Diceros bicornis minor: one gene and its partners. The protein of the gene in region 2 interacts with the protein of the main gene of each other region in a biochemical or structural test. Links are inferred from orthologs where the notes say so. Each region holds a gene or a part of one and is shown on either strand. Other genes may lie near its edges.

Region 1 (7,115 bases), on a different chromosome or scaffold from region 2:
CTATATACAGAGCCCAATTCTAGACCCTGGAGTGAAGGTGGGGGTAGGGAGCAGAGAGATGGGTTGGAAGAGATGCTCAACACCTCACTCATAAGGCCATTGGTATATCCTTAGTCCCTCCCTTCATAGGACTTTCATGACCCTCCTAGGAACCCTCCTGCCCAGCTTCTGAACTCTTCCTGCTTCTAGTCTTACTCCTGCAACCTAGCTTCCACACTGACAATAAATGTCTTTCAGCAAAATCAAGTATAGGCAGGAGAAGGCTGAGATAATCCTAAAGGGAGGCCCTAGGCTTCAGGACAAAATCCAGATTCCTTAGCAGTCAATTCCTTGAGACTAGGGCTCCCTGCCCACCTTGGGTTTCACTCTTACCTTCCTTCTTGAAACCATCCCTCCCAAACCTGGGCACACAAACCACTTGTATACCTCTTCCCATGCTGATCTCTCTGCCTGGAACGCCCTCCCTTTAACTACTTGCCCTTAACTACTCAGCCTGTGAGGCTGGCCACCAAGATTAGAATCTTCCACAAGCCAAACCATCTACCAGGTGCTGGGAATGCAACCTGTGAGCAGAAACTGATTAGTCCCCATCCTTAGGGCACTCAGAGGAGAGCCCTGAGGGATTCAAATGATGACCAATTGAGCTAAATGCTGTGAAGGCCCAGCACACGCTGCACCACTGCTAGGAGAGCTTGAAACAAAGGAGCCTGACCTACACCTGAGGGTCACAGAGGGCTTCCCTGACTTGGCAACCTGTGCTGACACCAGAAGGAAGCTTAGATTTAACTAAGAAAAGGAGGGTGGGATATGGTGGGCCTTCCAGGCAGAAAAACAGTGTGTAGTGCTGTGTGGGAGAGAACTGATGAATTGGAGGAGCAGGGGAGGGCCTGTGTAGCCACAAAACACAGTATGGAGCATGCCAGAGCTAACCACACTGAATCTGCATCAGGGCAGTAAAACAAAGGGAAGTCACCCAGCCCTGAGCTGGCAGTCAGCAGGCTCTCTGGTCCTGGCCACACACCTTTTCCCCAGCCCCTCCACCACCACCTACAACAGCCCTCACCTCAGCATTCAAGGGAAGACCTGTCTCACCTCCTAAATGCTGGTAATAGGAGATGGAGGCTTCTGCTCCTGGAGAAGAGGTCATAAGGCTCTGGCAGGGAAACCCAAAAGGCTCTTTCCAGCTGTGCAGGTCCTTGTGGGCTCCCTCCACAAGAGGAATGGTGAGACGGACTTCCTTAGAAAAGCCTCTCCAATTTCTTCCTTGGGATTCTTACCTTGTATGGAATGGAAATGGGGCGCGTGGGGTGAGGGGAGAGAGGGGCAGCTCAGGGGCTCAGAGGAAAAGTGGGTAAGATGCAGGTGAACTCTGGGCCAGGAGTGGTGGGCGGGGCCGGAGTGGAGAGCCCAGCTAGGACAGGTTCTGCCCACAGGGCATGGAGGGGAGGAAGGAGCTGGGAGAAGCTCTGCGAAGAGTCTTCCCCAAAGGCTGGGTGGGGGCCACCAGCAGGCTTCCACCTCTGTGAGGTTGGAGAAGAGACGCCCTAGGTGAGAAGAAGCCCAAAGGCTCAACCCAGCCAGCACAGGTAGTAGACTTTGTTGTGGGAGGCGCGCGGCTGATTCTCAGACGCATCCCACAGCTTAGAGATGTCACCCCGCTAGAAGGGGTCGGGCTCCCTTTGCTGACCGAGAGCCCTCCCCGGAAGGAGTGAGGCGTCCAGGTGGGACCCTGACCCTGGCCAGGTGGGGGCCTGTATGCCTGGAGGGAGCCGCGGGGCCCCTGAGGGAAGCAGGTGTGGATAGGGCTAAAGTCCAGCTGGGGCTGAGAGGGAAAGGCGGCTGATGCACGCCCGTCCCCGCCCCTCGCTGCAGCCGATGTGGTCCTCAGGGTCGGGGCGGCACCTCCCTCGGCTCAGGACTGTCCTTCAGTGGCATTGTGGCTCACCAGCATCCCCACCAAGACAGGAGAGGCCGGGGGTGGTTGGAAGAAAACTCCGAGGTGGAAAGCCTGAAGCCGGCAGGGTCTGGTCGGGTCTGGTCGTCGGGGAAGTCCACCACATTCCATTTCTCCCTCTCCTCTGCTGGCATCGCCATCGCGGTCCTCGTGGGCTCCAGCGCAACAGCCGAATTCCCCTTTCGGCTCTAAAGAGGCGGGGGGATGGGGAGGGCACTGCCAGAATCGTCTTATAGAGTCACGGACGGTCGTGGGAAGGGACCCACTGACCCGCGCGAAGCGAAGGGCACCTTCCGCGGCCTGGGTCTCGGGAGGCGGGGCGGGGAGAACTCCGGGAGGGGCCGGGAAGAGGTGGGCAGGGGGAACCAGGGGGCGGGGCTCGCATGGGACCTGCCGGCTTCTGGAAAGGGGTCAGCGGTGCAAAGGTCCCATCCTGGAGCATTCGTGAGGGACCTGGAGGCTGTACCTCACGGATGCTGATTCCACAGGAGCTCCCTGGGCAATGTTCAAGAAACAGAGAGCCGGATTTTCGAGGCGGGAAAACTGTAATAATGTGACTGAATGATGATGTCTTTGGGGAGAGGAGGTAGGAGGTGAAGGAGCGAGTGCTCTTAAGGGCCGAGGAAATCCTCTGCGTGTACAGGCACGCGTGGAGTCGCTCACGTCTCCATTTGTGCCGAGCGCCAAGGAAGGCGCAGGCACGACCAGAATCGTGGACAGCGAGCTTGATATTGCGGTGAGTGAAGGGAGGGGTCCCCACGACCACAGGAGAAGCAAAACATGTGGGTCGGGTCGAGTTCAGTGTTGGAAAAGCTAAAGGACAGCGAGTTGGGGGTGCCAAAGAGGCAAGCGATGGAGGAGTCATCAGGCTATGGAGGAGCACAGCCAGGACAGCGCCCTGAGGAGCCGAGGTCCTTCCCCAAGCCTACGAGGCCCTTTGTCAACTGCCTCCCACCCCCTCACACCTTCTTCGAGTCTTTGCTCCGATCGCCCCGTCACCTTGCCCTCCCCCACCCCACCGAATGTAAACTCCAAAAAAAAAAAGGTCTCATCTGTCTTGTTCACAGTTGTATCCTCAAGACCTAAAACAGGGCCTGGAACCCAAGAGGTGCTCACTAAGTAAGCTGCGTGCATTTATTCTGCCAGGCGTTGTTCTGGGTGCTTTACCTTAACTTTCTCTTAACTCAGTTACTCTCCACAACACCACGTGAGGTAGGTACCAGTATTTCCAATCTCATTTCACAGGTGAGAAACTAAGGCTAATACATCCTCCAAAGAGAAAACAAAATACTATGTACAATCCGCCCTTTATTTTGCACAGACGATAGCGGCGGCTATCATCCAGATCTGTGCTGCCCCGCCTTGAAAAAATATCTGAGAGGGGCGCTCCCAGCAGTCTCTCCTAGTCAGGGGATGTGCGGGAGCGGGAGGCTCCACAGATTCACGCGCCGTGCGGCGGAACGTGAGGCCGGCAGGCAGCCAGGGACCCACGTTCCACTGCCTCCCTGTGCGCGCGCCTCCTTCAGGGCACGCTTGGCCCCCCGGGCCGCGGGCCACCCTGGAGGGTGATTAGGCCCCAGGGGTCGAACCCGGAGGTGCGTCCTCCCGGGCCGTTCCGTTCCTGCGGGGGCTCTCCGCGCAGCCTAGGCGGGGCGGGGTGGCCGTCCCGCGGCCCACAGACCGACTTTTCTTTCGTTCGCCGCCGGCTTTCCGCTCCATACCTCACTCTCGCCTTAGTCTGGCTTTGCATTAAGTCCCTCCGGACCCGGAGTGCCTCGGCCAATACCATCAGGGCACAAACCTCTTGAGGGAAGAGCAGCCTTCTGCGCATGGAAATCTGTTAGGGTTTAATAGTTCACCCGAGCACCGTTTATTTAAAAAGTTTAGTACCGTTTTTCTCACATCGCCCACCATCACTCAGAGTTGCGACCTCGGCTTTAGGCTCCCTCTCCGTGGCGCCCCCAGCCGCCGAGCGGAGAGGCGGGGCTCGCGCTGCGCCACGTAGGAGCCGTCAGGCGGCCGGGCGAGCCTTCTGGGAACGCGCCGCGCGCCTCCCCTATTCTTCGGCTCAGACGTCACGCCTCAGTCGACACCTGAGGATCCTTTTTAAGGACTCGGTCGTGTTGATTTCAGAACGTATTTGTACGGCGCTGCCAAGTTATGTTGCGTGGCGGAGGGGACCATGAGGTCCTGTTATTTCACCCAGTCCTATGGGCTACATGGCACCGCCATCTTGAGCAGGAGTGACGCACAGCGGTCGCCATTTTGTTCGAGAAGGCGGGTATATCCGGTTCCGGCGTAGGTTGTTCTCTCTTTTCCTCGGCGGGGCGGCAGCGCGAGTGGCTGTAGTGGTCGTGTCTCTGAGCTATCCGGTTCCATCCTCGTCGCTGCGGCGACACTCGCACCCGCCACCGCCATGACTGAACAGATGACCCTTCGTGGCACCCTCAAGGGCCACAACGGCTGGGTGACCCAGATCGCTACCACTCCCCAGTTCCCAGACATGATACTGTCGGCCTCGCGAGGTATGGCTGAGGTGTGGGGCAGAGGATTGGGGGAGAAGGGGGTTGCATGCACTGCGGGCTAGGCCAGTGGCGCGCGAGTTGGCTGCCCGGAAAACTCCGTCCGGGTGTGAGTTGGGCCATGCAGATCTTTGCCTAGGCCTCAGCCAAGATAAATCCCTAAGGCATCCCCGCTTAGCAGCTACCGAGACATAGATCAGCTCTTAGCTGCCAGGGAGTTGCGGGGTTGGGTGTTTTTCTCTTATTTCTTGCCCGCCTCCGTGCAGGTGTGGCTAAGTGTGTGCCCAGAAACCTACCGATCGGGCGGGGCAGTGATGAACCCAACATGCCATCTGAGAGCCCATGCTGAGACCCAGAGGCTGTTTCTGAGCTGCCGCCCGGACCTCTGCTGGGTGGGAAGTGGGTGGACTCCAAGGGGACCTCATGACTTCAGTTTCCCGGCTGCCCCGCGCCTGCCCTTTCTGCCCTGTTTTTTTTCCTTCTCCGTGTGCGTGACTGCGTTTGGAGGCTTCTTGTGCCTTCCGTTTGTGCCCACACTGTTGACGCTTGTCTGAGGCTAGGATCATGTCTTGTACTTAAAAGCTCCCTGAGTGCTACACATGTCAGTGAAAGCATCCGATCCTGTAGCGTATAAAGCAAGTTTTCCTAATTTCAGCACTCTGGTAGCCCTTAGCAGTAGTCGCCCATAGTTCGTCTTCCCACAGCCAGGCTGCTCTGTTTGTGCATTAGACCTCAGGTAAGTCTCGAAGTAGATGTTGAAGTGGTCTGAATATCGGAAAGGGGAATCCATGGTCTTTAATAAAGTTCTGCTCACTTCAGTTAAATTCTCGTGGTACTGCTTAGGTCTATTTGGCTGTTTATTCTTGAATAGTGAGTCACTTGGATTTGACAAGTAACCACTTTTATAGCCTGCAGTTACCCTCCCCACTTAAGTGTCCTTAATTTGTCGTTTTGTAAGTCTCAGTGACCTTGAGGCATCTTGGGTTGTCCTGTAGGTCAGCAAGTGAGTGTCGAGGTTTGTAACTGGATTTCCTTTTTTGTTTTACCTTTTCTTAGACAAGACCATCATCATGTGGAAGCTGACCCGGGATGAGACCAACTACGGCATCCCACAGCGTGCTCTTCGGGGTCACTCCCACTTTGTTAGTGATGTGGTCATCTCTTCAGATGGCCAGTTTGCCCTCTCAGGCTCCTGGGATGGAACCCTTCGCCTCTGGGATCTCACAACGCAAGTAGCTGCTCACTTAGCTCTGGGGCCTGGGCAGAAAAGAGGTAGATACTGTTGGGAAGTGGTTTCCCAGGGGCGATTAGGTCCGTTGAGGGCACTGTAAGGCAAAGAGCACCTAGAGATGGTTGGCGTTGTTTGGTTTTCCTTCTCGTTGCTCTTAATGAGTGATGCAGAATTGTTGAGGAGTGGTCTGGTGAGCAGTTTTGTCAGATATTGCAGTTGGGAGTAGGCGACAGTTTGAACATGTTTTATTTTGGGAGCTCAGTCTTGGGATGGTCAGGCATAATAGAGGATCCCAGTGATGACAGACGACATTGTCAGCCAATCCCCACGTGGGAATGAGGACATGTCCTGCAATTCTGAAGGGATTCTCTGACATATCTCAGCCAACCACCTGCTGTGATCAGAGCCATGACCAGGGTTGTGTGAGTAATGCAGCTCCACTAGGACAGGAACAAGGTCCCCAGGGAAATAGTCTGACTGTGGAAGAATGTTTGCAAAGTCGAGAGAGTGACCAAGTCTTCCCTCTCAGGGGCACCACCACACGCCGATTTGTGGGACATACCAAGGATGTGCTGAGTGTGGCCTTCTCCTCTGACAACCGGCAGATTGTCTCTGGCTCCCGTGATAAAACCATCAAGCTATGGAATACTCTGGGTGTATGCAAATACACTGTCCAGGTAAAGTGAAGGCACATGTTGTTGAAGGTTTTCTCCCATCCTTCTTAACCTTGGCTGTATCTGGTGATTCAAGCCTCATCTGGAATCTAAAAGGGGTCTGTTGATCTTAAAGGTTTGGGTTCTTGGGATGTGAATGCAAGGCTATCAACATGTATCCCATGTAACTGAGGGGAGGGGTGGGGGTCTAGAGTTTTATGGGACAAGACAGTTTTGCCTTATTTCCTTTCCATTCTCTGTAGGATGAGAGCCACTCGGAGTGGGTGTCTTGCGTCCGCTTCTCACCCAACAGCAGCAATCCCATCATTGTCTCCTGTGGCTGGGACAAGCTAGTCAAGGTGAGCTTGGAGCAGGGGTGTAGGGACTTTACCAGCCAGCATATGTACCTGCTTCTTCCCAGGTGGTCATAGCCTCCAACTTTGAAAGCTTTGTGCCGCGATTGACATTTTTCCTTTTGCTATTTTCTCAGTACAGCCCATCAGTTTTTGATATTTGGTCTGAAGTAGCTAATTGAAAGGCAGCACACATAGCATTTGTTACCTGTTTTAATCCTAATTGCTTTCCTGTGGCCTAGACAAATTCTTTAACCTTTTTTGTTAGTGATGGAAAGAAAAACGGCTACCCTATTCAGGAATGCTTTTAAACAAGATGCCTGTGCCTTTTTTTGTTTGGCTTGAGCCCTCCTGACCCTGGCTGATTCAGAGCCAGGTTCTTTACCTATGACCCCCCCACTC
Region 2 (7,985 bases):
GGATGAGACCTCCCCACCCACAAAATGCATGCTTAGATGGCCCGTTAACTACTGCCTAAGAAGTTAGGGTCTGGTAACCACAGAATCTTTGTTCCCTGGGACACGGCTCCAGCATCCTCTTTCTCTCCCTTTCCACTGAAATAAATGTTGAACCAAGAATATTGTTTTGAAGGGGACCATATTACTAGCCTGAATGGAGAACCAAATTATTAGCCTATTCAAGGCATGCACATGTTTATCAGCCCCTTGTATTATCAAATTGAGTAAAAATAAGTCTAACAGCAACCAGAAACAGGACAGTCCAATTACTTCTCCCTCTCTGATAGTCTCAAGTGATCCAAGGGTACAATTAGACTATCAGCCTATCCTTCAAGCAGCCATCCAAGGATATTATTTCCCTTAACTGCTAAGAATAGGGCAGCAAGGAGTTTGGAGCTACATTTTTTGGTGAATGAATATACTTTGTGCTGCTGATCATGGATAGATCCACGTGCCTGATACTCAAGTCATTTGAGAGGGGGGCAGGGTTGACATTTTCTTGTTAACAGTAAGGAACCTAACCAGGACCAACCAACCACAGCTACCAAGAGATGGGTCAAGGGAGTCTTTGTGAACAGTGCTAAGATTTTGTCTAGGAAACAGTTCTGGGCCTAATTCTACAAGAGTAATTGAAGCTTAAAATTCATAATCATGAGGGGGTTGCAAACATTTTAACATAAAAAGATTTCAAACCCAGAGTTAGGAATCATCTACCCTAGTTAAACAGTGGACAATTATCCACAAATTAATTTTAATCACTGTAACTTCCTTGGGAGTTTCGAATATAAACTGACTGCTTTTCTTTCTGTCTCTTCCAAAGGCTTATATTAGCTTCTGGATCTTCTTAATTATCCATTCTCTCTAAGTAAGTGTTCTGTCCTTGGATCCCTTAACTCTACAAACTGGGGAGATCTCATTCATACTCACTGCCCTACTTCATCTGCCATTTGTTTGGTAATGATACCCAATCTGTATGTCTAGACTGTCATTTCTTTGGAGTAATAGCCCTGTATTACCAGTATATTCATGGATCTCTATACCTGAATGTCTCTTAGATGCCTTAATGTTACAAATAGGATTCATTCGTTCTTTCTTTTTTTTTTTTTTTTTGCTGAGGAAGATTCACCCCAAGATAACATCTATTGCCAATCTTCCTCTTTTTGCTTGAGGAAGAGTCGCCCTGAGCTAACATCTGTGCCAATCTTCCTCCGTTTTGTATGTGAATCGCCACCATAGCACGGCCACTAACAAGTGGTGCAGGTCCATGCCTGGGATCTGAACCAGAGAACCGGGGCTGCTGAAGTAGAGCATGCTGAACTTAACCACTAGGTCACGGGGCCAGCCCCTCTAACAGTTAACTTTTTCAACTCAGTAATACATGTATAAGGTTCAAAACCAAGAAGTTACAAAAGGATACACAGGGAAAAAAGTCTGCCCCTTGCACCTGACTCTTAGTCAGCCAGTTTCCCTTCCCAAAGGTACCCATAGCTATCAATTTCTTTGGTAAAGAATGCATTTCTAAAATGCATCTACTTCACATCCTCCCGTGGCTCATCACTCTCTCTAAGATAATGTCCCTGAGAAGCACATATGAGGCCTTCCAGGATTTAGTCCTGTTTCTCTCTCGTTTCTTCTAACAAGTCCCTCTGTACATTCAGATTTCATCCCCTGTAACCACTTGCTCTTCCCTGAAAAGCCTATAGCTGTGATTCTGCATATGCTCCTTCCTCACCCAGGATGCTTTCCCCAAATTCCTCTATCCCTCATGCCACCCTTTTCTTTGAGTAGAAAACACCATCTCTTAACACTCCCTTAAATATATTCAAGTTCAAGCCTTTGCGGACCCCCACAGATAAAGGTTATGCCCTCCTCTCATGATGCCCTTTGAGGACCATATATATGTTTTTATTACAGCACCTATCACATTACTTTGCCACTCGAAGGAAGATACTGTGTTCTGTTGTTTTCTGAGTCCTCAGAGTCCAGCAAACTGCCTAATACCTACTTAGTTGTTTAATAAATATTGAATATTAGTTACAATGTAACTACAACTAAGCTAAGGATATATTAGGCTGCATTAATAGCACCATAGTACTTAGAGTTTTTAGTTCTGGCCACCATATTTAGAGATAGATATTGAGGAAGTATACTATCCACCTGACAGCATAGGGTCTACTAACACTATGACGGCCTTAACAAGAAAAGAGTAAGAGGCCCACAGCTCCCTTAGAATCTCTGAAGAGCTACAGAGGAAGCAGCTCACAACTAACTCCCGAGCTCCTCCAGGAGACCAGAGGTTCTCCACCACGATATTGGGTCATCCTGGTATGTCTTCATCAGCGCTGAGATATAATGTAACGTATTTGTACTAATAAAAGCCGAAGTACTGAAGTTTTAAAACAATTTACTTTTAGCCCCCCTCTTAAACTAGAGTGGATTCAAGGTTACTTCTGTGAAGTCACTCGTCCCCACTTAAATTCCAATATACTTTGCTGAGATAGGGGTAGAGTTACAAATGATGGGTCTGGAAACTGGGTGTAAGCCACAGGTTACCTTACCTTCACTTCTACCCTGGAACAATGTTGAGCATCTGAATATTATCTATCCTGGGGGATAGGATGGGGAACGGGCATACAGAGAACTGCTATCCTAGCCTATGAGCTCCTCCAGGGTAGGGCCCATGAGTTCTCATTTTGTATCTATCCACAGTGTCTGGCAGTTAATAAATGCTTGAAGAAAGAAAGGAGTGAAGGTTTGGGGATGGATCAATGGGAGAATGAAGGGAAGAGAGAGTGGAAGAAAATGTGACAAAAACTTTTAATAAGAGATGAAGGAAAGAAAAAGCAAAGGAATAAAGGAGGCTTACTATTTACTTTCTTAGACACTGTTAATTGAATTCAATTTTTAACTCAACTTAAGGAAAAAAATAAATAAAAGCTGCTTAAACAGAGACTATGGAAGACTGGATAAGATGACCTCTAAGTTCCCACTCAATTCTTTGGTCTATGATTCTAGGTTTTATTTCCACAACAATGCTTTTGAGTGAATAGTGGCATTTAATGAATATTTATTAAATCAAATTATCATCTAAAATAACACCAACACAGAAACAAACTGATGCTTCTGCTAAAAAAAGTTTATATTACTTTCTTAATTGGGTCTTCATAGTTTCACGAAGAGATTGGCAACGGGTTTGCAAAATTCAGCTTCAGTTTGCCCCCCTGTAAGATGCTCTGTGGCTTAACTGGCAGGGTATAGAGCTGAGGTACCTTGTGATTTTTTTCTTTTAGGTTAAAAGAAATAACAGAACCTTTCTAGGCTAAATTCTAGACATGATGCAAATTTAAAGTAATTTACGGTGCTATTTCTGAGGGGAAAAATTAGTTTTTTTTTCCCCTAAGAGAATCCAGAGAGCTATTTCTGAGCTGCAGAGACTCACAAGGCAAACAAGTAAAGGTCAAGAAACCAGGGAGCAAAAATTACAACATCAACCACTGCCCGCCTCCCAAACATCTCGGTAATCACAGATTTCTTAACTTTTTGGCCCTTCAAAATATGTGCAGTCCATAATGCGGCAGGAACTGATTATTCATCCAAGGCTAGCTGTGACTCTTCTCTGCTTATTTGATGTAAGTCTAAGCTCAAAGGCTTTTGCTTTCCCTGCAGTACCTCACTTGGAAAAAAGCAGTGCTTAATGCATGTTATTTTGATTTCATAAATAGAAAGTATGTAAAAATCAGGAGAGTTGGGGAGCTTTCATTGGGAAGAAAAAAGATAACATTTTTATTCTTTTTTTTAAATATTATTTTCATGAAGAGTCCAACTCTTTGTTCATTGACTCTGGCCCAAATGCTATGACACTGCAAAACTGAGATCATATAAACTGGTTTTTTTGGCCACTTGATTTTGCCCACGTTAGAGGAACATAACTGACTGACAAACTCACTTAAAAATTCTATTACAAATAAGCATACTTTCTCCGCTTCCACTGTGATATGACATGATCCCATTTCTACAGATAATAGCTAAATCTTACTCACTGCAAGTACAATAAATATTTGCCGATTGATTTCGTTGATGCAACTGTAAGCCTCGTTTTCAGTTCCAAGTCTACATTTTACCGATAATCTAAAAGTATTAATTCCTATACATCAAAATGTCTGGGCAACATCCCACTTTCTGAACACATACATTCACACACATCCCCAACCTGCTCCTTCCAACAGAGCTTGCTTTGGCTTGCTTCGGGGAGGAAACTTCAGGAGAGCATCTAGCAAGAGGACAGACCGACGACGCTACTTGAGCTGCGGAGGTGCCCAGTACAACTTCCTGGCTCAAAGTAAAAAAAGAGTGGCGGCGGCGGCGGCGGCGGCGGGTGAGGGGGAGGGGGCACTCCATCAAAGATCCAAGTGACAACTCTCGATGACTTCCAGATTCCATCCGAACGGGACGAATGAAAAGGTTAGAAAACAGTGGCAGGGCGTTGTCCCCTGCCATGTTTCAATTCCCGCTGCACTAGTAACAAGCCACACATCTGCCCTACCCGAGTGGGCTTCTCCAGTGCTCACTCGCCCCTCGGAATCACGGGGAGAGCGGTCTCCTCGACCCAGGAGTCAGAATCAAGGGAGACCCCTGCGGGCAGAGACTCCGCTAACAGGGAAGGAGCCCAGGGGCTGCCGCCCTTCGCCACCCAGGAAGACCCCTCCCGCGCGCAGGTGGGCGGGCGCCCGGGGCCGAAGGGATGCCCGGCGAGGAAGGGGGTGCCCGCGCCCCTCGCAGCGACCCCTCCCCGGCCCGCCAGGGGGAGCGTCTGCGCCCGGCGGCCCGCGGCCGGGCCCCGGCGGGCGGCGCAGGGCGGCGGCTCGGCGCCGCGGCTCCCGTCCCGCGTCCCCACCCCCCCCCTCCCCGGCCGCCCGCCCCCGGCGCGGCCCTGCCCGCCCCCTCCGCCCCCTCCCGCGGCGCCATGCGCAGACTCAGTTCCTGGAGAAAGATGGCGACAGCCGAGAAGCAGAAACACGACGGGCGGGTGAAGATCGGCCACTACATCCTGGGGGACACGCTGGGGGTCGGCACGTTCGGCAAAGTGAAGGGTGAGGACCCCCGGCGCGAGGCTGGGCCCCAGCCCGGGATCCGGGCGGCTTGCGCCCCTCGCACCTCTTCGTCCTCCCCGCCCGCTGCGTTCCTCGTCTCCCGGGCTCGGCGGTCCCTGTCCGGGCTCCGGCGGGAGCGGAGCCCCGGGCCGCCGCGGGACTGCGGCGCGGCCCTCCGGGGCTGGGAGGGGGTGGGGTGGGGCGGGTTGCCATGGCGACGGCGCCGCGGCCCGAGGGGCTCGTCGGTGCGAGGGGCGGGGACGCGGAGGTGCGAACTTTCCCAGGCGGGGCAGTCGGGGGCTGCGCGGCGCGCCCCGAGTGCGGGGTCGGGGCGCCGGGGAGGCGGCCCCGCGTTCGCCCGGCTCTGCTCCCTCGGCGCGGGGCCAGCCCGTCGCTTCCCTGGCCGTCCTCGGCATTGTCCGTGTTTCCGTCCTCTTGAGAGGCTGTCGGCTTCCCTGCCCCGGCTGATTCTCAAGTGTGAAATAATGTGTTCCCCCCAAACTAGACTGCTTTGGGAGTAGCTTACAGATTTTCTTTTTTTTTTTAAGGGCCATCTTGTCAGAAAGGATCACTAATTTTTTTCGAAGCAGGTCATGAATTTATACCGGTCCTCTATTTGCGATGCATCGTTTATGTTCTGAAAGCAGACTCCGTGCCTTCGGTGTTTCTGAATGATCTGTTTTGCGGTCTCTCTGTGCCAAACCTGGTAGTTAGTGCAGATGTTGCCTCCAGATAGTATTTAATAGTTCATTAATGCAGTCGTTTCCATTTATTTTCACAGGATATTTACATTTTAATAAACAATTTAGTGCACATCATGTGAACCTTTTTTCTTTTCAAAGAAAGGTGCAGAATCTCTTACCCTTGTGTTTCAACACAGTATTCTGGAAATAACAAACTTGCTCTCCAGTCCGCCAATTCTGGCACAGAAAGCTTAATTGCAAACTTTGTGAGGCATAAGTATTTTTTTCTTTAAAATATTTGACTTTGTTGTTAGGGATGTAGAGGAAGGAAGTATGGAACTGATCAAAATAATTCACGCCTTGGCTTTGGATAAGTAATAGACTATGACTTGCATACGCTAAGCTCTTGGTAAATATTTGACTTGAAAGAAAAAAAAGTTTGTGAAAGTCTGTACAGTGAATTAACTAACTGAGCCTTGCTCTCCCAGAGCTAAATAAACATTTTCTGATTTTATCTAGGGATGGAAGAGGAGAACCCTTCCTTCTCTTGCCCTTTCTGAGTCATAGAACTGGAAAATTGCTGTATAGTCCACAGGGAAGCAACTGCCTAAACCTTCTTATGAAAATCAGCAAGGCCAACAATGCAAGAAAGTAAGAAGCAAATGCCAGAATAGGGTACTAACAGCTATTAGGGTGGGTCTGTATCAGGCCAGTAAGATGTTTCTGTGCCATTGAAGTTATTTATTTTTGGCTATGCTGTCTCTTGTTAGTGGTTACAAACTGCTTTTCATTTACAAGTATTGTAAGAAATGCTCATTAATACCCCCCCAAATAGTGATGACAATCTTGATGCCCTCACCCTGCCCAGAGTTCTGTTTGGATGAGGGTGCTCATCTTTCTCCTAACATAGACTTGAGCAGAGTCAGGTCTCATTTTCTTATTTGTGAGGTGGTTTTCGGCATGGCATATAAGAAAGCAAGAGGAAATTTTTCGTTTTCTGGATTTGATCTGTGGTGTGGCTGTGACATGAATCCCTTTAGTGACTGCTGTTCCTTAACCTTCACTCCTCCACATGTGACTCGCTTGAAGTATCACTCACTGTCAAAGTCAACAACCTCTCCAAATATAGAAAGGCCAATATTAGTCAAAGGATCATAGGTTTCATAGATATGATTGCATTTGTTTATAAATATCTTAGTTGATGTAGGTCAAAATCCTCAGCTAGTGCATTTTTTTAAGTTGTTAAACGATTGGGATGCTTTTTGCCCCAAGTAATAGAAAGTCCAACTCAACCTATCAAGAACATCTCTTTCTGTGGTTCTCTCTCCAGAGCAAGGAATCCCCAGCGTACCTCTCATGGGTCTCATTGGCTCATCCAGTCCCTCTGGCCAGGGGATGCCAGTTGGCTTACGCTTGTTCCTAAGTAGGCACTCGCAAGGGAGATAGCATTAGCCTTGGAGGAATGTGGCCCACTCTTGGATGTGTGTGTGTGGGGTGCATCTTCTTCTTTTTTTTTTTTTTTTGTGAGGAAGATCAGCTCTGAGCTAACATCCAATGCCAATCCTCCTCTTTTTGCTGAGGAAGACTGGCCCTGGGCTGACATCTATGCCCATCTTTCTCCACTTTACGTGGGATGCTGCCTCAGCATGGCTTGACAAGCGGTGCATCAGTGCGAGTCTGGGATCCGAACCCGGGCCTCCAGCAACGGAGCGAGCGCACTTAACCACTACACCACGGGGCCTGCCCCCATTTTCTTCTGAAGTACTTGGATAGTGTAGGGAGACAGGGTCGATACCTACACAGAAATGAGTATTAATTGTTAGGCTAGAGAAAGGGGGACATACAGTCCCCCAAATGCTTGATGAGCAGGCAAAAATAGCTACTATAGTGGTGATGGTAACTTACACTAGCCTTAATTTGACAAGACTCCTTTGAATAATACGGTTAGCTGTATGTGTCAGTGGAGACAATTCGGAGTAGATAGAACTTTTAAAATTAGTTATACATGTTGGTAAATTTAACATAGAAAAGGAATATAATAGAAGATGTGATATTGGTAGGCAGAAAAATTCCCAATATAGTGCTCTGTGCTTAGAAGAAATTTAATTTTGGGGAGGAGGGAACTGTAAATTCATAGTGATTATTTTGTTTCCTGTTACAGGCTAAAAAATCC
Region 3 (7,757 bases), on a different chromosome or scaffold from region 2:
AAACAAACTGAATAACTATCTTAAAAGTTATCAGAAAATGTAAACTTTGGGGGGCTGGCCTGGGTGCATAGTGGTTAAGTTTGCACACTCCACTTTGGCAGCTCGGGGTTCACAGGTTCGGATCCCGGGCATGGACTTACATCGCTCATCAAGCCGTGCTGTGGCAGTGTCCCACATACAAATTAGAGGAAGATGGGCACAGATGTTAGCTCAGGGACAATCTTCCTCACGAAAAAAAAAAAAGAAAAGAAAATGTAAACTTGGAAAATTGCTCAAAAATGAAAAACATCATCTCTGTTGGTAAACATTTATAAATCACTGTCACTGTATATGAATCATAAATTCTATGCAAATATATCACCTCTAGTTCAAAAACATCTTCCTATTTCATAAAAGCTTTAAGTTAATCTACTTGTTTTCTATGATATTCATAAACTATTTTAAATTTTGTGTTAAAATTCTTTTTTAGATTATGTTTATTAAAATACATATATAAGCATTACGACACTTCAGATTTTGTACTTGATGTGAAACTCATGCAAAATTAAGAAAGTACTTAAATTTTTCCCAAATTTTATTAACTTTTCCAATAACAAAACCTAAATAATGAAAGAGATATTTAATATAATCCATAACCCAGACCATAATAGCTTTATTTTTTTATGACTCTGAGACTGAAGGGATCATATTCAGAATGTTAAATTCTAAGGCATTTAACAACACATGATATAAGCATACGACTTTTTTCCTATACATCTAGTAAGGCCATGTTAGATGAGATTTTACCTAAACTAAATTCTCAACCAGGCCCATTCATTGCATATACAGACTGAAAGTCACGAATTATATTCAACAAAGATGAACTGATTATCTTATATAAACAAGGTATGTGGTATTGTAAAGAATGTAAAAGTATGGTAATTAATAATAATAATAATAATAACAGCCAACATTTACTGGGCCAAACACTTTACATGCATTATTCTCAACAGATTAACCCCTATGACATAGGTCCTATTAGTCTCCAAGTTTTAAAGGTCAAGTCACACAAACACAGAAATGTTAAGGGACTTGCCTCAGGTCACACAGCTACTAAGTAGCAGATCTGGGATTTGAATCAAAAGAATCCAAATCCAAAATCTAACACCCTTGATCCCTAAGCAGTACTGTCTAATTCAACCCAGAAAATAAATTTCTTATCCTTTCAGAATTGCAACCCAGAAGGAAGTTTATAATCACTGATACTTTAGGTCATTGTCAGTTCCTATAAATAGTAGGAACTTAACTTTTTTAAATATACCTATTCTTAGAGCAACTTGTTATGAAATAGTTTGGAGAAGAGGAATGAGTATGCTCTTAACAAATCTAGTAGCCACTATAATACATTTTTTTTTTTTTTTTTACAAATCAACCTGAGAGCATTTTTTAAACTATACTAAAATTTATAAGGGGATCTGTTTAAAAAAAAACTTTAATAGATCAACAATGATCTAATTTAAATCAACAATGAGCTCATTGAAAGTTCCTTAGTACTTAGTACTTAGAAGTAGCCATGGGATATTCATTCTTCTGAAAACTGCATTTTTACACTGACTGGCATTTAGGTTCCTCAAAGTGCTCTACTAAAAAGTCTACAATTTATGCCAGTTAGCATTCTGATTTGGTAAGTAGTAGGAAAATAGATCAACAGATAATCCAATTTTTATAGATGGAGTAACAAAAGGTGCTAAAAACATCAACACAAAAGATTAATTCCAAAGAGTAAAGTCCTTCTCTCTCATCCACAGGGAGGAGCTCTCCTTCAACGGTCAATGGCCTCTCCTTAGCACCTAAGTCCCAGGCTTATTGCTCATGCAGGGAATAAAACATAGAAAGATGTGAAAGCCGAGTACCTTCTCAACACACACATATGGGCATATTTATAATATATTTGGCTTTTCTGATACCTTAAGTATGCTGATTCATTGGATAATTATGAGTCAAGCAATATCCCATGGGAGAGCTGTACCTATTCATTCATTCATACAAGTTTAACAGGAACAAAGCAGATATAGTATCCAAAGAAGACTTCAAATATGAAATGCTACATCTAATTACACTTTGCCTAAGACTCTGAACTTAGACTCTATTTTTAAAAATCTCATTAGATGAAGTTTGCAAGCTTTTATGGCTTATCGCATGCAAAATAGGATGAGTACAATTTATTAAATGTCAATTGGATATAACTTGAGTCTATTCCCATGGCTTCACATTTCCATGATAATTCTGACCCCTCTTTTAAAATTTATAGCTCGTAAATTGGCTTTTTTTTTAAGATAGATATTTCAAAACATTTGCTTTCATTCTTAAAAGGAAGAATAATGGAATTGCGGCAAATGCTTGTTCGATTTACTGAGTATCATAACAATAAAAACTTTACTTAAGCACATATTACTCGCTTCACCCCTCTCCCCTTAAAAAGTTCAAAATTCAGTCAACAAATGTTTCCTGAGCACCTACTACAGGCAGGCATGGCATTGTTGTCTGTGTGCCAAGAAGACATCTGAGTTTCCAAGGCAGGAAGGGGGAAAACAAGTAACCAAACTTAAGTATTTGCTATTAACAAGTTTATAATTCATAAATTTCTTAGAAAAATCTAAAACAACAATGCACAGTAGCACACTTGGGTCTTGAGAGCCTGACTTTCAGTTGCAAGTAGTTAAGACTTCAATATTAAGCTAAGGCTCTCTACCCAAACAATGGGCTTCAGTTTATTCTTTTATCTCTTCTTAATGTTTTCTATTTTATTCCACAAAATCCACGTTCTCTTCCACAACAACGAATGATAGCGCATCTTTTTAAAAACTATTCCTCTTTCCCCAGAATCCAGCCTATACACGCCCTCCTCTTTCACGGGCACGTGTCCTTCCGAAGCTCGGCTGGACACCCTCTCACCTGAAAAAAAGTTTGGAGATGACGCTGGCCTTTTCCAGAGGCGACCTCTGCATGGTCTCTGGGGGCGCCGGGATCCCTCCGGGGCAGGCTGGGCTTGCGCTCCTAATGCCAAACGCCCTACTCTCCTCGGTGCCTGCTGCTCGCCCCTTTTTCTTTGACCTGCTGTGATGTCATTTGCTTCCAACTCCCCAACCCACCCTACCCCACACACCTCCCGTTTCCTCTTGCTCCTTCCCCCGCCCCCACTGCCCAGGTTAAAAGCCGGCGCTGCCTGGTCCGGCCCTAAACTTGCTCTAGCGGCTTTCTCCACCCCCTCCGCACCCCCACCGCTCCTTCCTTCTCGCCTCCTTCCCTCCCTCGCCGCCCCGCGCCTCCCTTTCCCGATTCTGACTCCCAGCCTTCCTCCCGCGCGCGCGCTCCTTGCAGGTCCGCGTCCCTACCGTCCAGCCCCAGCCCAGCCCGCAGGTGGGGGACAGTCGCGGCCGCTCTCCAGGTCCAGTCTCCGACGCTCGAGGACCGACAGAGCCAGCGGCAGGAGCAGAACCAGCCCCCCGGGGAAGCTCCTGGACCCTCCCACACGCCAGGTTCTGCCGAACCGGGTAGTCACCGCTGCCAACTTCTCCGAGCCTTCTTCCTCCTCCCCTTTTCCGAGATCCTAGCCGGGTTCGTGTTACCTTTGCAAGGTGCATTTTGAAAGGGGAACGAAAATATGTCTTTCCTGTATCAAAATGCAGCCATAGAGAGCCGGAAAGTTCCGCGGCAGTGTCAGATGTGTTCACCTTAGCGCTTCCTTTGAGTGTCAGAGAGAAGAACCAAGCTTTGTTCTTTTCAGGCTTAGGCGAGCTCCAACTGTAGCAGAGATCTCTTAGGAGATGTACTTATGGGGGCGGGGGGTGGAATCCTATAAGAAGGTAAGAGGAGTTATCGCTTTGTCCATTACCCGCCCAGGATGTGTTCATTGTCTGTCCTAAGTTTTTCAGTCCGGCTTGCGTTTTTAAGGAAGGCTTTTGTGTGTGTTAGAGACTACGATGACAAGTGGACAGCGTGTAACCTAACCCGCCCTCCTGTAGATTTCCTAGACTCAGTCAGCAAAACATCTTGACTAATACACAGAAAGGAATCCAAGCAGTCTTTGCAGCGAAGGTAGCGCGTTACCTCTGACTTGACTTAGAGAAACGCCATCTTCATCTAAGCTTTCCCAGGTGTGGGCACCTTACCTTCCCCGAGTTTTTGGTGTGTAGATTTTGTGCCTGTCTGATGGTTTTTAAAGAGCCAAGTGTTTAATCCCTAATCCTGTTGTGTAAAAGCAAGGGCACGTTGAGTTTAAACTGAAAAATTCAAATGAAAGTAAAAATTTTGGTGTGATTACTTTATTGCCTCTACATCTAAGGCCAGGGTGTTTACTTGTGAATTACCTTACTGTTGACTTGTGGTCACCCAAATACAGTACAAACAAAATTATGCATTTCATAATAATAGACAGGAACATGTATTTAAATTAATGAACGCGTTCAGCAAGTTTTTATAGCTCCACTTTGCATTTCAAGGTCATACTTTTTCTGTCTTAAAGTGGGTTTTATAAACATTTAAATTTTATTATCCTAAATTTTAGTAGTAGAGAAAATAAGAACAAAGAGAGAAACCAAATTGCATGAAGTTTGATGCCAGGAAAGAACTTCAGCATTTCTAAGTTGATTTATTGCTTCAAATCTTGTACCCATGTTTTCCTCTCTCTGGTAAGACATACACATTGAGGCTCCATCTTCATTATTGACTTTTCCCAGGTATGTGACTGAACTTACTCCATCCACTTCCCCACCCCCACTCTGTTGTTTGCTTTACAACTGCTACTATGACCCATCAACTGTAATACACACATTTTGAAATGAATTGGTAATCACTTTCTCTTTGTTATCAAAGAGCAAGTGACAATAAAGGGATTAAGAATTAAGTTCCAAAGATCACAGAAGCTGACCAAGTGATATGGCTCAAAGAGACCCCAAATATTTGTCAATCAGTTTCCTTCTGGAAAGAATAAATAAAATAGTAACTATTTCTTCAGTTCTTACTATTTGCCAGGCATTATCTCGTGTAAACTTTACAACAACCATGTAAATAGATGTCATTCTCCCCAATTCTCAGTTGAGGAAACAGACAAGAGAAGTTAAGTCAATACCTGTAATGGTAAAGCCAAGATTCGAACTCAGGTCTAATTTCAAACCATCAATCCTATCATTGTGTAATATTGCTTCTAATCAAATCATCCCTCATATATTTATATACAATCACTTACACACCAACCCAGTCTTTCTCCTCACATTAGTTTCATGAAATCATAATTGCTAGACCTTTCCAAGACTGAGACAAGAAAGCAGAAATCGACAAACCAAGTAGCTGCTGGAGTTATATAATTTTAATAAATGACACTTAATTATAATATTCCATTTTAAGTGTGTGCACAAGCATGTGCATAGGAAGACCTTAGATTTTTATCATAAAAGATGACATCCCAAATTTGTTCTTGGTATAAGTAAGACTTCACTACTATTCATAATGTTAACATTGTTTAGCAGACGTGAACAAATGAATTAACTGAGACATAATGTTCAAGATTTGCATCTAGGTACATACCTAATGTGGGAATATAGACTTATGCACCGGGAAAGTATTCAAATATAGCTGAAGGTCATCGCTGGAATCCTAAATGTATCTTTGAGATGTCAGGAATAGGAAAGAGATCAACAAGCTGGCATGAGAGTGGAAGGTGGTAATAAGAAACAGTGAAGCTCTTCTCTCCAAGCTGCTCAAATATCAGCTCATAAAATTTGATTATAATCTTGCTTACATTTGTTGAGCACTTACCATATATGCCAGGTGCCATGCCAAATGCACAGCATGTGTTGCCTTTTTAAATTCTTATAAACATCTTCATGGGACAGGTAACTTCTCTATTATCCATATATTACAGGTAAAGAAACTGAGGTACAGAAAGTTTGGTAATTTTCCCAAGCAAGTTGCAGAGTTAATAATAACAAAGAAAACTGCGACTTGAACCTAAACAGCCTGTTGCCTGAGCCCAATCGTTTAACCACTAAACATGCTTCCCCAACAGAATTTCCTAATGTTTTAAGCATAATTGATCTTGAATATAGAAGATTAGGTGGCCATCTGTGACATCATTTTTTTTATTGTGGTAGAATACACATAACATAAAATTCACCATCTTAACCATTTTTAAGTGTACAGTTTAGTGTTATTAAATACATTCACATTGTTGCACAACCATCATCACCATCCATCCCCATAACTCTTTTCATCTTGTAAAACTGAAACTCTAACCCATTATACACTAACTCCCAATTCTCCCCTCCCCACAGCCCCTGGCAACCACCATTATACTTCTGTCTTTATGATTTTGACTACTCTAAGTACCTCATATACGTGGAATCATACAGTATTTGTCTTTTTTGTGACTGGCTTATTTCACTTGGCATAATGTCCTCAAGATTTTTCCATGTATCATATTGCAGAATTTATTTCCTTTTTAACACTGAATAATATTCTATTGTGTATACATATATATATATGTATATGTATACACACCACATTTTGTTTATCTATTCATCCATCAGTGAACACTTGGGTTTTAGCTATTGTAAGTAATACTGCTATGAACATGGGTGTACCAATTGTGTGGCACCATTTTAAAGGTATATTAAAAAGAAGCAAGAAGAGGAGGAGGAGGAGGAAGAGCAGAGAAGGAAGCCAACATTTATTTAGTACCTGCTATGTGTTCAGCAATGTGCTATGTGCTTCCTACAAATGATCTCAATAGATGAACACCTATAAGAGACAACCTTCCTGTCATACGGTACTCACTCTGCCAGGTGATGGCTGAGGTTTCACCATTAGATATTACCAGAGCAAAATTTCACTATACTTTACTTCTTCATCATCTTCAATTTAATTTAAGTGTGTTCCTCAGATTCTTTCCTGAGAACGGGCTTTAACCATGCTAAGTAGTGGCCAACTAAAACTTGGAAAAGTAGAAGGAGAAAGGAAAAAAGTCATCCCTGTAAGGAAGAAAAGCTCACCAAAAAAGAGAAGGGCAAGGCCTTGTTAGCTTCATGTGCATAAACTGGTTCTGCTTATAAATTTACCTAAACTAGGAGGGTAAGAGCAGCCGAAGCTCTTCACAGTGTGCCGCCGTGATGACCAAGGATGTAAATATACATTACAGTCTGACAAAGATGTTTCAGACCCAGAGAGAGGTGTCCTGGCATATGATTAGGTCAGACTTTCATTACTTTTACTGCTTCCAACATTATGTTTGGTCTGACAATTCTGTTTATAAACACACACGCAGACATACCTCTATTTATATACATACATAACCCTTCTTCCCCACAACATCCTTGAAGACAGGAATTGTGTCTTCTGTTTTCCTTTTACTCATCTCTTATTTAGTAATACAGTATATACAATCAAACAACGATTTTCTCGTGGGGTTACTGACCTAATAGTTGAAATATCTTCCTAAAGGGGAAATCTGAAGATGCTCAAGAGATGAATTGTTACCACTAATATTTCAGCAAGCAAGAACTCAGTGCTAAGGCAGGTATACAGAATAAGGCAGGATCTCTACCCTTCAAAACTCAGAATCTACCACTGGTCACCAAAGTTCTCTGAAGATGGTAGCAGAGTATAGTGGAAAGAGCTTGGGCTTTGAGGCAATAAAGAGCTAGGTTTACAATCCTGGCACCACTGCTTACTTAGCTCCCTGGTCTTGGGTAAGTTATTTAAACTTTCTGTGTCCTAGCTCC

The links. The genes of interacting proteins can lie anywhere in the genome.
Region 1: of the proteins of PRKAA1 (region 2) and RACK1, one has a biochemical effect on the other in vitro, tested with the Homo sapiens proteins (2 studies listed by BioGRID). The link is inferred for Diceros bicornis minor from reciprocal best matches to the Homo sapiens genes PRKAA1 and RACK1.
Region 3: the proteins of PRKAA1 (region 2) and CFTR form a complex in vitro, tested with the Homo sapiens proteins (2 studies listed by BioGRID, with this or other methods). The link is inferred for Diceros bicornis minor from reciprocal best matches to the Homo sapiens genes PRKAA1 and CFTR.

Annotation. Positions count from the first base shown.
Region 1 is NC_080740.1:94,223,879-94,230,993, reverse strand, and holds the start of RACK1 (small ribosomal subunit protein RACK1), read left to right. Parts: upstream 1-4,087; 5' UTR 4,088-4,370; coding exon 4,371-4,479; intron 4,480-4,781; exon of another isoform or gene 4,782-4,849; intron 4,850-5,532; coding exon 5,533-5,704; intron 5,705-5,995; exon of another isoform or gene 5,996-6,074; intron 6,075-6,236; coding exon 6,237-6,384; intron 6,385-6,623; coding exon 6,624-6,719; intron 6,720-7,115. UniProt on the Homo sapiens protein: Scaffolding protein involved in the recruitment, assembly and/or regulation of a variety of signaling molecules. Interacts with a wide variety of proteins and plays a role in many cellular processes.
Region 2 is NC_080759.1:29,093,120-29,101,104, forward strand, and holds the start of PRKAA1 (5'-AMP-activated protein kinase catalytic subunit alpha-1), read left to right. Parts: upstream 1-4,951; 5' UTR 4,952-5,002; coding exon 5,003-5,129; intron 5,130-6,331; exon of another isoform or gene 6,332-6,453; coding exon of another isoform or gene 6,454-6,463; intron 6,464-7,985. UniProt on the Homo sapiens protein: Catalytic subunit of AMP-activated protein kinase (AMPK), an energy sensor protein kinase that plays a key role in regulating cellular energy metabolism.
Region 3 is NC_080742.1:68,339,054-68,346,810, reverse strand, and holds the start of CFTR (cystic fibrosis transmembrane conductance regulator), read right to left. Parts: upstream 3,029-7,757; 5' UTR 2,988-3,028; coding exon 2,935-2,987; intron 1-2,934. UniProt on the Homo sapiens protein: Epithelial ion channel that plays an important role in the regulation of epithelial ion and water transport and fluid homeostasis. Mediates the transport of chloride ions across the cell membrane.